2 linked regions of the Caenorhabditis elegans genome follow. The protein of the gene in region 1 interacts with the protein of each later gene in a biochemical or structural test. Each region holds a gene or a part of one and is shown in the gene's direction. Other genes may lie near its edges. The genes, in order: wrm-1 and cdk-1.

Evidence for each region.
Region 2: of the proteins of wrm-1 (region 1) and cdk-1, one has a biochemical effect on the other in vitro, tested with the Caenorhabditis elegans proteins (one study listed by BioGRID).

What each region holds. Positions count from the first base shown.
Region 1 is NC_003281.10:5,720,888-5,727,818, forward strand, and holds wrm-1 (Armadillo repeat-containing protein wrm-1), read left to right. Parts: upstream 1-1,962; 5' UTR 1,963-1,995; coding exon 1,996-2,020; intron 2,021-2,071; coding exon 2,072-2,179; intron 2,180-2,722; coding exon 2,723-2,895; intron 2,896-2,952; coding exon 2,953-3,336; intron 3,337-3,525; coding exon 3,526-4,405; intron 4,406-4,454; coding exon 4,455-4,801; intron 4,802-4,853; coding exon 4,854-5,020; intron 5,021-5,076; coding exon 5,077-5,279; intron 5,280-5,759; coding exon 5,760-5,863; 3' UTR 5,864-6,228; downstream 6,229-6,931. UniProt on the Caenorhabditis elegans protein: Antagonistic role in the Wnt signaling pathway that operates in embryogenesis. When located at the cortex it has been shown to inhibit Wnt signaling during asymmetric cell division but when relocated to the nucleus it shows positive regulation.
Region 2 is NC_003281.10:9,745,288-9,749,371, forward strand, and holds cdk-1 (Cyclin-dependent kinase 1), read left to right. Parts: upstream 1-2,184; 5' UTR 2,185-2,186; coding exon 2,187-2,366; intron 2,367-2,416; coding exon 2,417-2,623; intron 2,624-2,671; coding exon 2,672-2,827; intron 2,828-2,878; coding exon 2,879-3,205; intron 3,206-3,252; coding exon 3,253-3,381; 3' UTR 3,382-3,565; downstream 3,566-4,084. Other genes in the region: iff-1 (Eukaryotic translation initiation factor 5A-1), read right to left, coding at 621-686, 736-873, 992-1,144, 1,189-1,318, 1,766-1,866; T05G5.4 (uncharacterized protein), read left to right, coding at 3,653-3,706, 3,750-3,863, 3,931-4,033, 4,080-4,084. UniProt on the Caenorhabditis elegans protein: Plays a key role in the control of the eukaryotic cell cycle. Required for entry into S-phase and mitosis. Acts as a component of the kinase complex that phosphorylates the repetitive C-terminus of RNA polymerase II.

The sequences.
Region 1 (6,931 bases):
ATTATCGACTTTGCCCAATTAGCCGTAGGTGTGTGGATTTTAAAAACTGTGTCATCAAGGCATCACTTTCAAATCCGTTTTACTGAGAAAGTGTCCTTGAATCGACGTTCTTCCGTTCGAAATCTTCACGCTTATGCAAACATATGGAGACAGATGTTTTCTGAAGCGATAGGGAGAAAAACGTGGGAAACAGGTGCAACAGTTGCTTTTATTTGCCAATTTTTTTTTGGTTTTTCTGCAAAATTTTCGACTATTTCTCTGCCTTTAATTTCCATTGAAAATTCCTGTATTTTTCGTAAATTTTTTGCCAAATTATGTTTTAAATTTCTCAAATTTGTACCCGAATTCACAGGAATCATTTAGAACACGATTTGTCGATATTGAAACAAAAAACTCAAAGTTAGTTGATTTTCAACAACACGAATAAGCTGAAAATTTCCGATTTATCAACATAAATCATGTGAAAAATGCAATTTTTGACTTGAACCCTACTTTTAGAGGTGAAAATTGAGGAATTTTGCAGATTTTCGGCCAGAAATAGTGAAATATCAGTTTTTTTTGTTAAAACTGAAATTTAGCAGAATTTCAAAAAGAAAAAAAAAACAGGTTTTGCATTTCACAAAAAAATGTTAAATTCTCTAAAATTGATTTTTCCTCGCCGCTGCTCTTGATTCTTCCAATTTCCGGTTCATTTTCAATTCCCCTAAATCCGGCTTTCATTTTTTCTTTTCCTTCTTCTCATCCTCACGCCTCACTTGATATCCTCAAAGTCATAGATTCAAATGTTTCTTCGTCACATTTTTGTCTCCGATGACACGCCTGATGATTTAATAATGTGGTCAAATTGATTGATTACTAGTTGGTTGTTGTCTCTTTCTCTACGAGTCGTGTACACACTGATTCCCTTCAGCCTGAGCAGGTGCATATTATCCATTCGCCAATGCTTCTCCTTTTTTTCGAGCTAACTCGCAAGGTTTTGATTAAAATTTAAATAAAAAACTTTAATCCCAAATCCAGAAATTTTCACATAAAACATTTGTGTGGCCTTTCGAAGTAAACTTCCTGCTCAACGGCATCACATTTTCTTTGATTTATTCACTAGATTAACTTTCAGTATTGAAAGCTTCAATCGAATTCAAAATGTATTGATTCGCGGCGCGGAGGTTTCTAGGCCACCGGCTGTGTACTCCTCTCGGACGGGCGATGCCATTCTTCTTATCAGTTTAAATCTTTTTTTCATCGCAAAACTTACTGATAAACTTTGTGAGTTACGTATTTAATAGGAATAATTTTCTCTCCGCTATTTTCGGATTAAATTTCCCCGAAACATTTTGCAACTGGCCGTTCGTCCTGCTGTTTGAACAGCATTCAAGTGTTGACCCCCCACAGAGTATATACCCATATGAACTGATTTATTGGTTACCCCCGATCGTTTTGCATTTATTATCCATTCACCAATGTTTCAGAAATTCAAAATTTTCTACAAGTGGCTGACTATTCGAAAAAAAAAAATAGAATAAGGTGTCAAAAAGTCTGTCAATATTGAAAAAAGCTCAGTGTCCACTTGAGTATGTTTGACTTGGAAGGTGTGAATAGCAGTTGCTCGAAAGACAATAGGAAAGGGGTTTTGTACTTTTGCACAGCATTCTGAGTTATTTTCTAAAATGAAAAAAATTATTTTTTAAACTTTTCTGTAAATTATATTAAAATTGAGAAAAAAACTATTGCTTTGATTCAAAAAACTCATAAATTAAACAATTTTTAAAATATTTTCTAGTTGCTGCAAGAATTAGATACAATTCTCACAAATCCAAAAGTTCGTAATTCTTTTAACTTCTCTTGAAACTTCTTCATTTTTTTGTGAAATCTCCACACACATCCGATTACTTTCCTTTATTCCCCTCATCAATGGCGTTTTCTCAGGTTCTCACATCGAAATTTCTCATTTTAGCTTAGTTTCAGGTTCCTCAACGGACCTGCAACCACCCATCTGAAATGGATGTGGATTGCGCAGAAACATGTAGGTTCCCCCTTGAAATAATAATTATTAAAAAAATCAATAAAATTTCAGTCTCGCAACCATGCACTCCGCTGAATTTCAATCCGATGACTCCGTCAACATCGAGAGTTTCAACACCAGTTCGGCCGTCTTCTACAATGTCTGCCAGACAATATTCAGGTGAGAAAGATATGAAATTTTGGCTTTACTTCGAAAAAAAGATTAAAAGCGGCCAATTTATGCTTAAGATTTTTAATATTCGGAAAAGAATTATTGTAATCTGAGAATTACTTTCATTTAAGCTGGAATAATTGAAAAGTGCTCCGAAAATTGTCTGAAAGTTGAGAATTGCCCGACAAAATTTTCGACAAATCATCGAAAATTTTTTTCAATTTCTCAAACTGAAACAAAAGTTATCTTCAGATAAAGCAAATATTATTTTCTACTGAAAACATGCCACACTGGCTCAATTACCGCGTACCCCTGATCTAGAATGATTGAATAAAAACTCGTTTGCATAACAATTAATCCAAGAATTTCCTGGTCGATAACATATTCCAAAAGGCCATTTCGCGCCCTTTTCTCTCTCGACCCTCTCCAATCACATCACCTTATCACTTCCCCCATTCCATTTTCGTATGTCTCGTGTGTCTATGTGTTCCCCATTGGAAACTTCCCTCAAATTACATACCTCTTTTCACATATTCATATTTCATTTTTCAGGTTCGCCGTTCAAGGCTCAACCTCAGAACATGGAACCGTCCAATTCTCGGGTGCAAGAACTCCGGGAAGCTGCTGTGGGAAAGCGATCATACACAAATGCTTGGATGCAGGGTACCTATGCACCGCCGCAGATGGCAGGACAACAACAAAGGTTTTCGAGGCCTCCGAGTGTGGTAAGAGATTTTTATAAGAATTCCGCGGCTTGAACAGATAATAAAATCAAATTTCAGATCGGCTCCACAATGTCTCACATGACGAATATGTCAGAAATGACCGCCTACTCGTACGGTGGATTGTCAATGCTCTCAGTCAACACTGAAATGGGTGAATTCAACAATTTTGTCAATCAGGCACCATATCAGCGAGCACTGACACGTGTATCGCAGGTTTCCGAGAATCAGGATCCGACGAATCGACAGTATCCGATGACAGCTCCCGAGATTATTGAGAATCTGGAATCAACGGAACTAATCAATCAAGCAGCAGCGATTCGAGCTTTGGAGCCAATTGTGAAAGCTGGTGGAATGTTGCAAACCTGGGGACCTAAAGGAGCCGAACCGATTATTCGAGCTCTGTTTCAAGTTCTTATTCCTCGGCCAGTTGAGAATGAGAATGTAAGTTTTGCATAAATGTTCGTTGAAGGTTTTCATGGTAGGTAGGAACATCGTCATCCCTAAGTGGATGCCTACAGCCTAATATTGTTTAAAAATCTAAAATCTAAATCTAAAAAAATCTTTCAAAAAAAAAAAAAAATATATATAGATGTATTAAAATATCGTTTGACAACTCCATATTTTTTGTAGGTAATCCGGAAAGCGTTTGAAATTCTCCACCACTCAATTCTTCTCTCCAACAAGGAAATCCGACGTATCGACAGGATGTTCTTCCGACTGAATGCGGCATTAATGGATCCCAATGGGCCGCCTGTGTTCAATGTACCAAAGCCATACAGTATCTATGAGATCGTGATGACACGTGCCATTCAACTTGACACGAAATTCGAGTCCAGTGCTATGGTTCTGCTCGTACATCTTTGTTGTAAACCTCATTTCATGAAGATTTTCTTTGGAGAAGATGAGACTCAACAGTCACCAGCACATCGACGTCTTCACAAAATAGTAATTGAATTTGCAATTGGAAACCTGAGAAGACCGGAAACGAAGTCAAAGAATAAGGGACTTTGTGTATCGATTATTAAGAATTTGTCGAATAAAAATGCAACTATCAAAGATATGTCAGAACGTCTTGGTGTTGTGAGCCTCTTTCATCAAATTATGCAGAACGAAGTGATCCACGAGGATTTGTTGTGGTCAACGATGCAGGCTCTTACCGTATTCTGTGGAGATGTTAAGAATGGAACACATTTTGTGCAAATGGGTGGAGCACAAGTTTTGTGCGGTCTTCTTTCGCATGGATCAACACGACTTCTTCACGAACTTCTGAAGTGTTTGAGACGAGTATCAGATTTGCCAGCGATCCAGGAGCAGGATATGAAAGAATCGATTCATTGTATAGTTCAACTTATTGGATGTTCGGATGTAACGATTGTTGAGCTAGCGACTGGAACTCTACGAAATATTGGACTTCATAACAAGATGAACAAGGCATTTATGGTGCAGGATGGAGTTACAAGTCATGCGATCGCAGTTCTTCGGACATCTGAACAGTTTACATATCAGCCACGTTAGTTTTGAAATATTCAATCTGAAATTCTAATTTACTTATTTTTCAGATGCCAATATAGATTTATATAGAAAGCAGATTCTGTCGATTTATGAAAATTGTCTATCCGTATTGAACAATGTGACTTCTATGGCACCTCAAGATATCAAAGAATCTGCAGTATCAGCGTGTAGAATGATCAGTGAGAATGCCGACTCCGCATATGTGCTCCTTCATTACTTTAACGTTGGAAATCGGAAGTGCAGGAAACTTGCGGTGACAGTAATGAAACGTGTCATTGAGACGGTTCCTGCTTTTGCTGATCCGTTTGTTGATCTACTTGGAACAACAAATGAGCCACTACCAATTTTATTGCTTCAAAGAGCATTCCAGAGTTTGGACGAATGGCGGAAAACTGTAAGCTATAAATTAAATTCGTAGAAACAAATAAATTATAATTGATTTTCAGAGCGTTGAAATGATGAATTGTGACGGTAGAAGTGCTGAGCAGAGAAGAGAATTAGATGACAGACGAAAAGATCACGAAGATATTGTAAAACGATCTGTGGGACTTTTAACGAATCTTTGTAGTCAGGCAAATCCAAGATTTTTCCACAGTTTGAAGCTAGTATTGACGTAAGTTTTTTACACTGAAAATCACAATTGAAATAATTAATTTCATTTTATTCCAGAAATGGCACGCTAAACCCCTTCCAATGGCTGACACATGAGATGAGTGACGGTATTCTGCAAGAGTGGCTAGCATTCATTTTGTCAATTTGTAGTCGTGACGAGTCACTGCAAACTTTTATGATGTACAGATTCCTGGAACAGGCAAAAATGACTGAAGCATTCTTTGCGGAACTCAAGGCTCGTCGGCAGAATTCGAATATTCGTGAGTTTTTAACTTCTGAAGAAACTAACAAAAAATACGAATTTTTAAAATACACAAACGCGAAATTTTTCAATTTTGCGCCAAGAATTACGGTAACTTTTTGTTGAATGCAAATATGTGCTTTCATAAATAGTTTTTTTTGTAAAAAATATACGTTTCAATTGAAATATTTGGGGGTTTTGTGAATTATTATTTATGAAAACCTATGAACAATCTATGAAAATTCAGCAGAAACTAAAATTTCATAATGCAGGACTTTTAAAGGCGCACACCATTTTGCATTTAACAAAAGCTTGTCGTGTCGAGACCGGGTACTGTATTTTTGGCGCAAAATTTAGCTACTTCCAGAACATTAAAAGCCTCTTCATTTCTATCACTGCGATAAAAAAAATTACAACCGTGTTTAGAAATTTTATAAATTCTGAAATATGAAATTTTTTATTCCCATAATTCCCTTTTACAATTCACGATCTATTTCAGAAACTATGTTGTCAAAGATCATCGATCTTGGTAGACATCAGCAGAGAATAGTTTCACAACAACATCAACAGCATCAAATGCAGCATCATCGACAACTAATGTGAATGAATCTTTGTGCGGGTACAGAATTCCCTACTCCCGGTGCACAGACACACAATCTCAATCAAATCGATCTTCCAGTTTTATTCATGTGCTATTATATATTTATCTTCATTCCATCCCCATGTTCCCTTATGTAGTTTCACATCAAATACCCACTTCATTTCGTTGTTCTCATTATCAGTATTTGGAGCATATCACTCCCCAATCTAATTAGTTTTTTCCCATCTATCCGTATTATTTGTTGCTCACTTCATTTCTCCAACCATCTCTCAATTATCTCATGTTCTATTACAAGTGCGAACTCTTTTCGACAATTTGATAACGGGCCCTTTTTTTTCGTCTATCGTGTATATGAATTATTTATTAGACTTTAATCTAGAAGACACAAGAAGATTCATCTAGAAGACACAAGAAGACGGACAAAAATTATGATGTAAATCAGAGAAGAGATCAGATATGAGATGAAGGAAGCAATGCGCCAAGCACGATCACCACCAGTTTCAACTGTGTGCACACCATTCGAAAACGTGTAGCAGTGCGCAAAGATGGCGCCAGTCTGAAAAATTGTAAAATTTTGTTACTTTTTTAGAGGATCGCTGGATACCCAAAATAAGATCTGAAGCAGGAAGTGGGCAAAGACGGAAAATGTATTCGGGGCACAAATGATGAACAGGGATAAGCCGACAAGAAGAAACTGAAATATTGAAAAAAAATTGCCACGTGTCACATACATACAGGCGGTCTCACTTCAAAGACATACCACCACGGCTACGAATTTTTGACAAGCAAAATGTGCAGGGTCAGAATGGCACAATGAATGAGTGCCATCATGATGAACCACACATAAACTGGCATACAGAAGCATGGATCTTGCGCAGTGGCTCCTAGCTCAGATCCCGATTGAGCTCTGCCACGTGGTTCCTCTGGGCGTTGGGTCCTAGATATTGAAATTTTATTGGGATTTCAGAACTTGGTTAATTCGATTGAAAACCTAGAAGTCGATGGACTCACTCAATATCGCGATTACACTGGTTCTCAAGCATATTATTCAGACACTTTATTTGAGTTAA
Region 2 (4,084 bases), 4.0 Mb from region 1:
AATCAAGGCTGATGAAAGAGTGGACACGGGTGTAAACGCGGCAGGAGGTGCGAGATGTGGCGAGATGATGATGGAAGCGTAGAGTTTACGAAATCTTCCTGGGTGACTGTGAAATTTATGCGACTCTTTTAAATTGCCAATTGATGAAGGAAGGATGGCTAGTGAGGTTTGAGGAAGGTGGGTCTTTGATACTGCACCTAGATATTATCGTGGTTAAGGGGGTGCTCGCAGGTCGCGGAGGAGGACACGTTTTAAAGTGAACAGCTCTATTGGCACGCGGCCAACCTGGGGTCAACTCAATAAGCAATAAGGTGTAGTGTACAAAGGGTGGAAAAGCTGCACAGGCCATGTAGTTCCAAAAACTAGGAACTGTGATTACAAAGTCTGACAACTGAATCTGATTTAACACTCCATGGACAGATGTCACCTCCGCGGTTTGCAAGCAATTCATTTTCGTTTGGTGAGCAGATATCACAATCAACACGACACATAAAACACCCACATTACACAACACCAGCGGAGGTGCACTTGTTCATTGCCCGATGTTTTTCGAATGATGTATAAAAAGCGGGATGATTAAACTGGAACTGCTTTTATTATGAAATTGTATATAAATGCAATTATTCCTTGGTAGAAATCTTGTATCCGAGAATAGCCTCCTCTCCGCAGGCAGCAACGACTTGAACCTGAAAATCAAAATTTTCAGATTCAAAAGGTGGATGTCGAAATAATTACCAAGACGCTTCCTTCGTCTTTCTCGAGAGCCTCACGGATAGTGTTTCCCAAGTCTCCTTCTGGCATTTTGAGATCGTCTTTGAGCTCGCAAGATTCTGGATCCATGAGCGAGCAGAACCCGTCTTCGATCGACATGAGCTGAAAATTTGATCAATAACATTTTTTACAGCTGATTAACTCATTTTTCAAAAGATTTGTTTAACCGTCCAAAGTTGATTTTTTTGAAAGCCTTCTTAAAAACTAATTAACAACTTACAATGTACTCGCGTCTCTTGACGACTGGGACGTCCATGTTGTGGGTGGATGGGCAGATATCCTCAAGCTTCTTGGTGGTGAAAATATCGATGGCAACCATGTGAACCTTAGCATGTCCGTGCTTTCCAGTCTTGGAGGTGCTCATCTCGACGATCTAAAAAATTTCTAATTAGGAAAATTCACTGAATTATTTTTTACCTTGCATGGTCTTCCTCGGATCATGACGTGCTCGTTCTTGCGAAGAGCCGAGCATTGCTTCGGGAAAGTAGCAGCAGCTCCGGACTCGGCAGAGTCGAATTGCTCCTCGTCGTGATGATCTTCGGACATACTGCAACAAAGATTTATCAATTATTTTAGCATTTTCAACTAGTTTCCAACGAGAAATTCAAAAAATAAATTTGGAAAAAAAGGTTTGCAGGAAAAAATTGTTTTGATTGAGAAATTTGATGCATTTCTAATAAAATATTGATCTTAGCAAGAAAAACACTGTACAAACCTGAGAAAAGTATAGAAATCGAGAGAAAATCAAATGCGCGAATTTTTTTGAAAGGACGTTGTTTGGCTGCGTATCACAATGAAGAATGAGTCGCTACGCAGCCAAAAATTTGGCGCCAACTTCCATCTTCAGACAGAATCGAAGTCCTCACTTTTTTAGGATTTCAAGGAATCTGCTCTATTTTTTGATTTATCTGAATAAATAATTTCCTAAAAATGCATTCGTTGCTTACTTGCCAAATTTCGCTTTCATCATGTAAAATTAAATAATAAAAATTACCTCTCTATGGTCTTCGGGGCAGCAACTCTCGCCATCCACCCTCCGAAGCCAAGATTACGATTTTTCTTTGAAACTCTGTTTAGTTTTGTTGGAAGCCTCATAAAGTAGAACAAATCAAGTTTATGATTATTTTGAGTAGTTATTTTTATATTTTCCGGCCTGTATTTATTCTCTTTTCTGCACAGTTTTGCGTTAAATTTTATCATATGAATGCAATGTTTCACAACAATCCTTCTCAGCGCGTACTCTCCTTTTCGGAATAAATTGTCATCAAAGGTGCATGCCTTTTCACTAAGCAATGGTCTCGCACCGACTGTCCCCCCTTTTCGGCGGCAGTGGAAATGATTCAAAATTACACGCTTACGCCTTTTCTATCGTTGTATTACAATTGTTCTGACAAAATTCATTTCCAATTTTAGTTATGGATCCTATTCGCGAAGGAGAAGTGGCCCACGAGGGAGATTCGGTTTACACACTCAACGATTTCACGAAGCTCGAAAAAATCGGCGAAGGAACATACGGAGTCGTCTACAAAGGCAAAAACAGAAGAACCAATGCCATGGTTGCTATGAAGAAAATCAGATTGGAAAGTGAAGATGAGGTATTTGAATTTTGTAGCAGTTTCGTTTTTTCAAACAATAATTCTTATAGGGTGTTCCATCAACGGCTGTGCGAGAGATCAGCTTGCTCAAAGAGCTCCAGCATCCGAATGTTGTTGGATTGGAAGCGGTCATTATGCAGGAGAACCGGCTTTTCCTGATCTTCGAATTCCTGTCTTTCGACTTGAAACGATACATGGATCAGTTGGGAAAAGATGAATACCTTCCGCTCGAAACTCTTAAAAGTTACACATTCCAAGTGAGGAAATATTTAAAATCGATGTCTTTACAAGAATAATTGTTCCAGATTCTTCAAGCTATGTGTTTTTGTCATCAGCGTCGTGTTATTCATCGCGATCTTAAGCCACAGAACTTGCTGGTCGACAACAATGGAGCAATCAAGCTTGCCGATTTCGGACTTGCCAGAGCTATTGGTATCCCGATTCGCGTTTACACGCATGAAGTGAGTTTGCATTCATTCTGTACACCAATACAATGATTGTCCGGTTTTCAGGTTGTCACTCTCTGGTATAGAGCTCCAGAAATTCTGATGGGTGCTCAGAGATACTCGATGGGCGTAGACATGTGGTCGATTGGATGCATTTTTGCTGAAATGGCCACGAAGAAGCCACTGTTTCAAGGAGATTCAGAAATTGATGAGCTGTTCCGCATCTTCAGAGTTCTCGGCACACCGACTGAGTTGGAATGGAATGGTGTTGAATCACTTCCGGACTACAAGGCGACGTTCCCAAAATGGCGTGAGAATTTCCTCCGTGACAAGTTCTACGACAAGAAGACTGGAAAGCACCTTTTGGACGATACTGCATTCTCTCTTCTTGAAGTAAGATTTCTAAAATAGTACTTTAACAAGTAAAATAATATTTTCAGGGTTTGCTGATCTACGATCCATCACTTCGTCTCAACGCGAAAAAAGCTCTCGTTCATCCTTATTTTGACAACATGGATACGTCAAAGCTGCCAGCTGGAAATTACCGAGGAGAACTCGAACTCTTTTGATGTAATTCATTCATCATCATTTTTATTATTTATTCTCCCGTGCTTTAACCACCTATCGTCTTCCGTGTATTGTTTAACTATCACCATTTCAACTTTTTACCTGTACGATGATTATTTGGCCCTTCGATATTCATGAGTAATCTCTTTTTTCACACCGCGATAAATAAATTCGCTCTACTTTCATGCTCTTTTTTATTCAAGCACTTTGTTCAACGTGTAAATGAGAATAGGGAATTAAGAATTCATTATTATTATTTTTCCATTCTGAAGAATGATCGCTGCAGTGATTCCAATATTCGTAATTTCTCTGTCTAACATTTCGCACGTAAGCTAAGGTAACGAAAACTAATCTAACTGGAGCTATTAAGATTATTCTTGCAATTTTCTTCTTCCCATCGATTGTAGAATTCCTCGATGATCTTTACTGGGGATTCACTTATCGTTCGTGGTCTCCAATTGCACGTCAATTAGAATTGGGACCGGTAGGATATATCCCTATATATAGGATTAAATACAATTTAGAGAATAAATCAAAATAATTGTGTTTAGAACATTTACATTCATCACTCGAAGGTTTCTATTTTGATGGACAAAGCTGATCTTTATGAGAAGAATCAGTCTAGGAAAGATATTTTAAACTATTACCGGGAAGGTATTGTTTAATATTTATTCATTCTCTCGAATATCTGAAATTTCAGAAGAC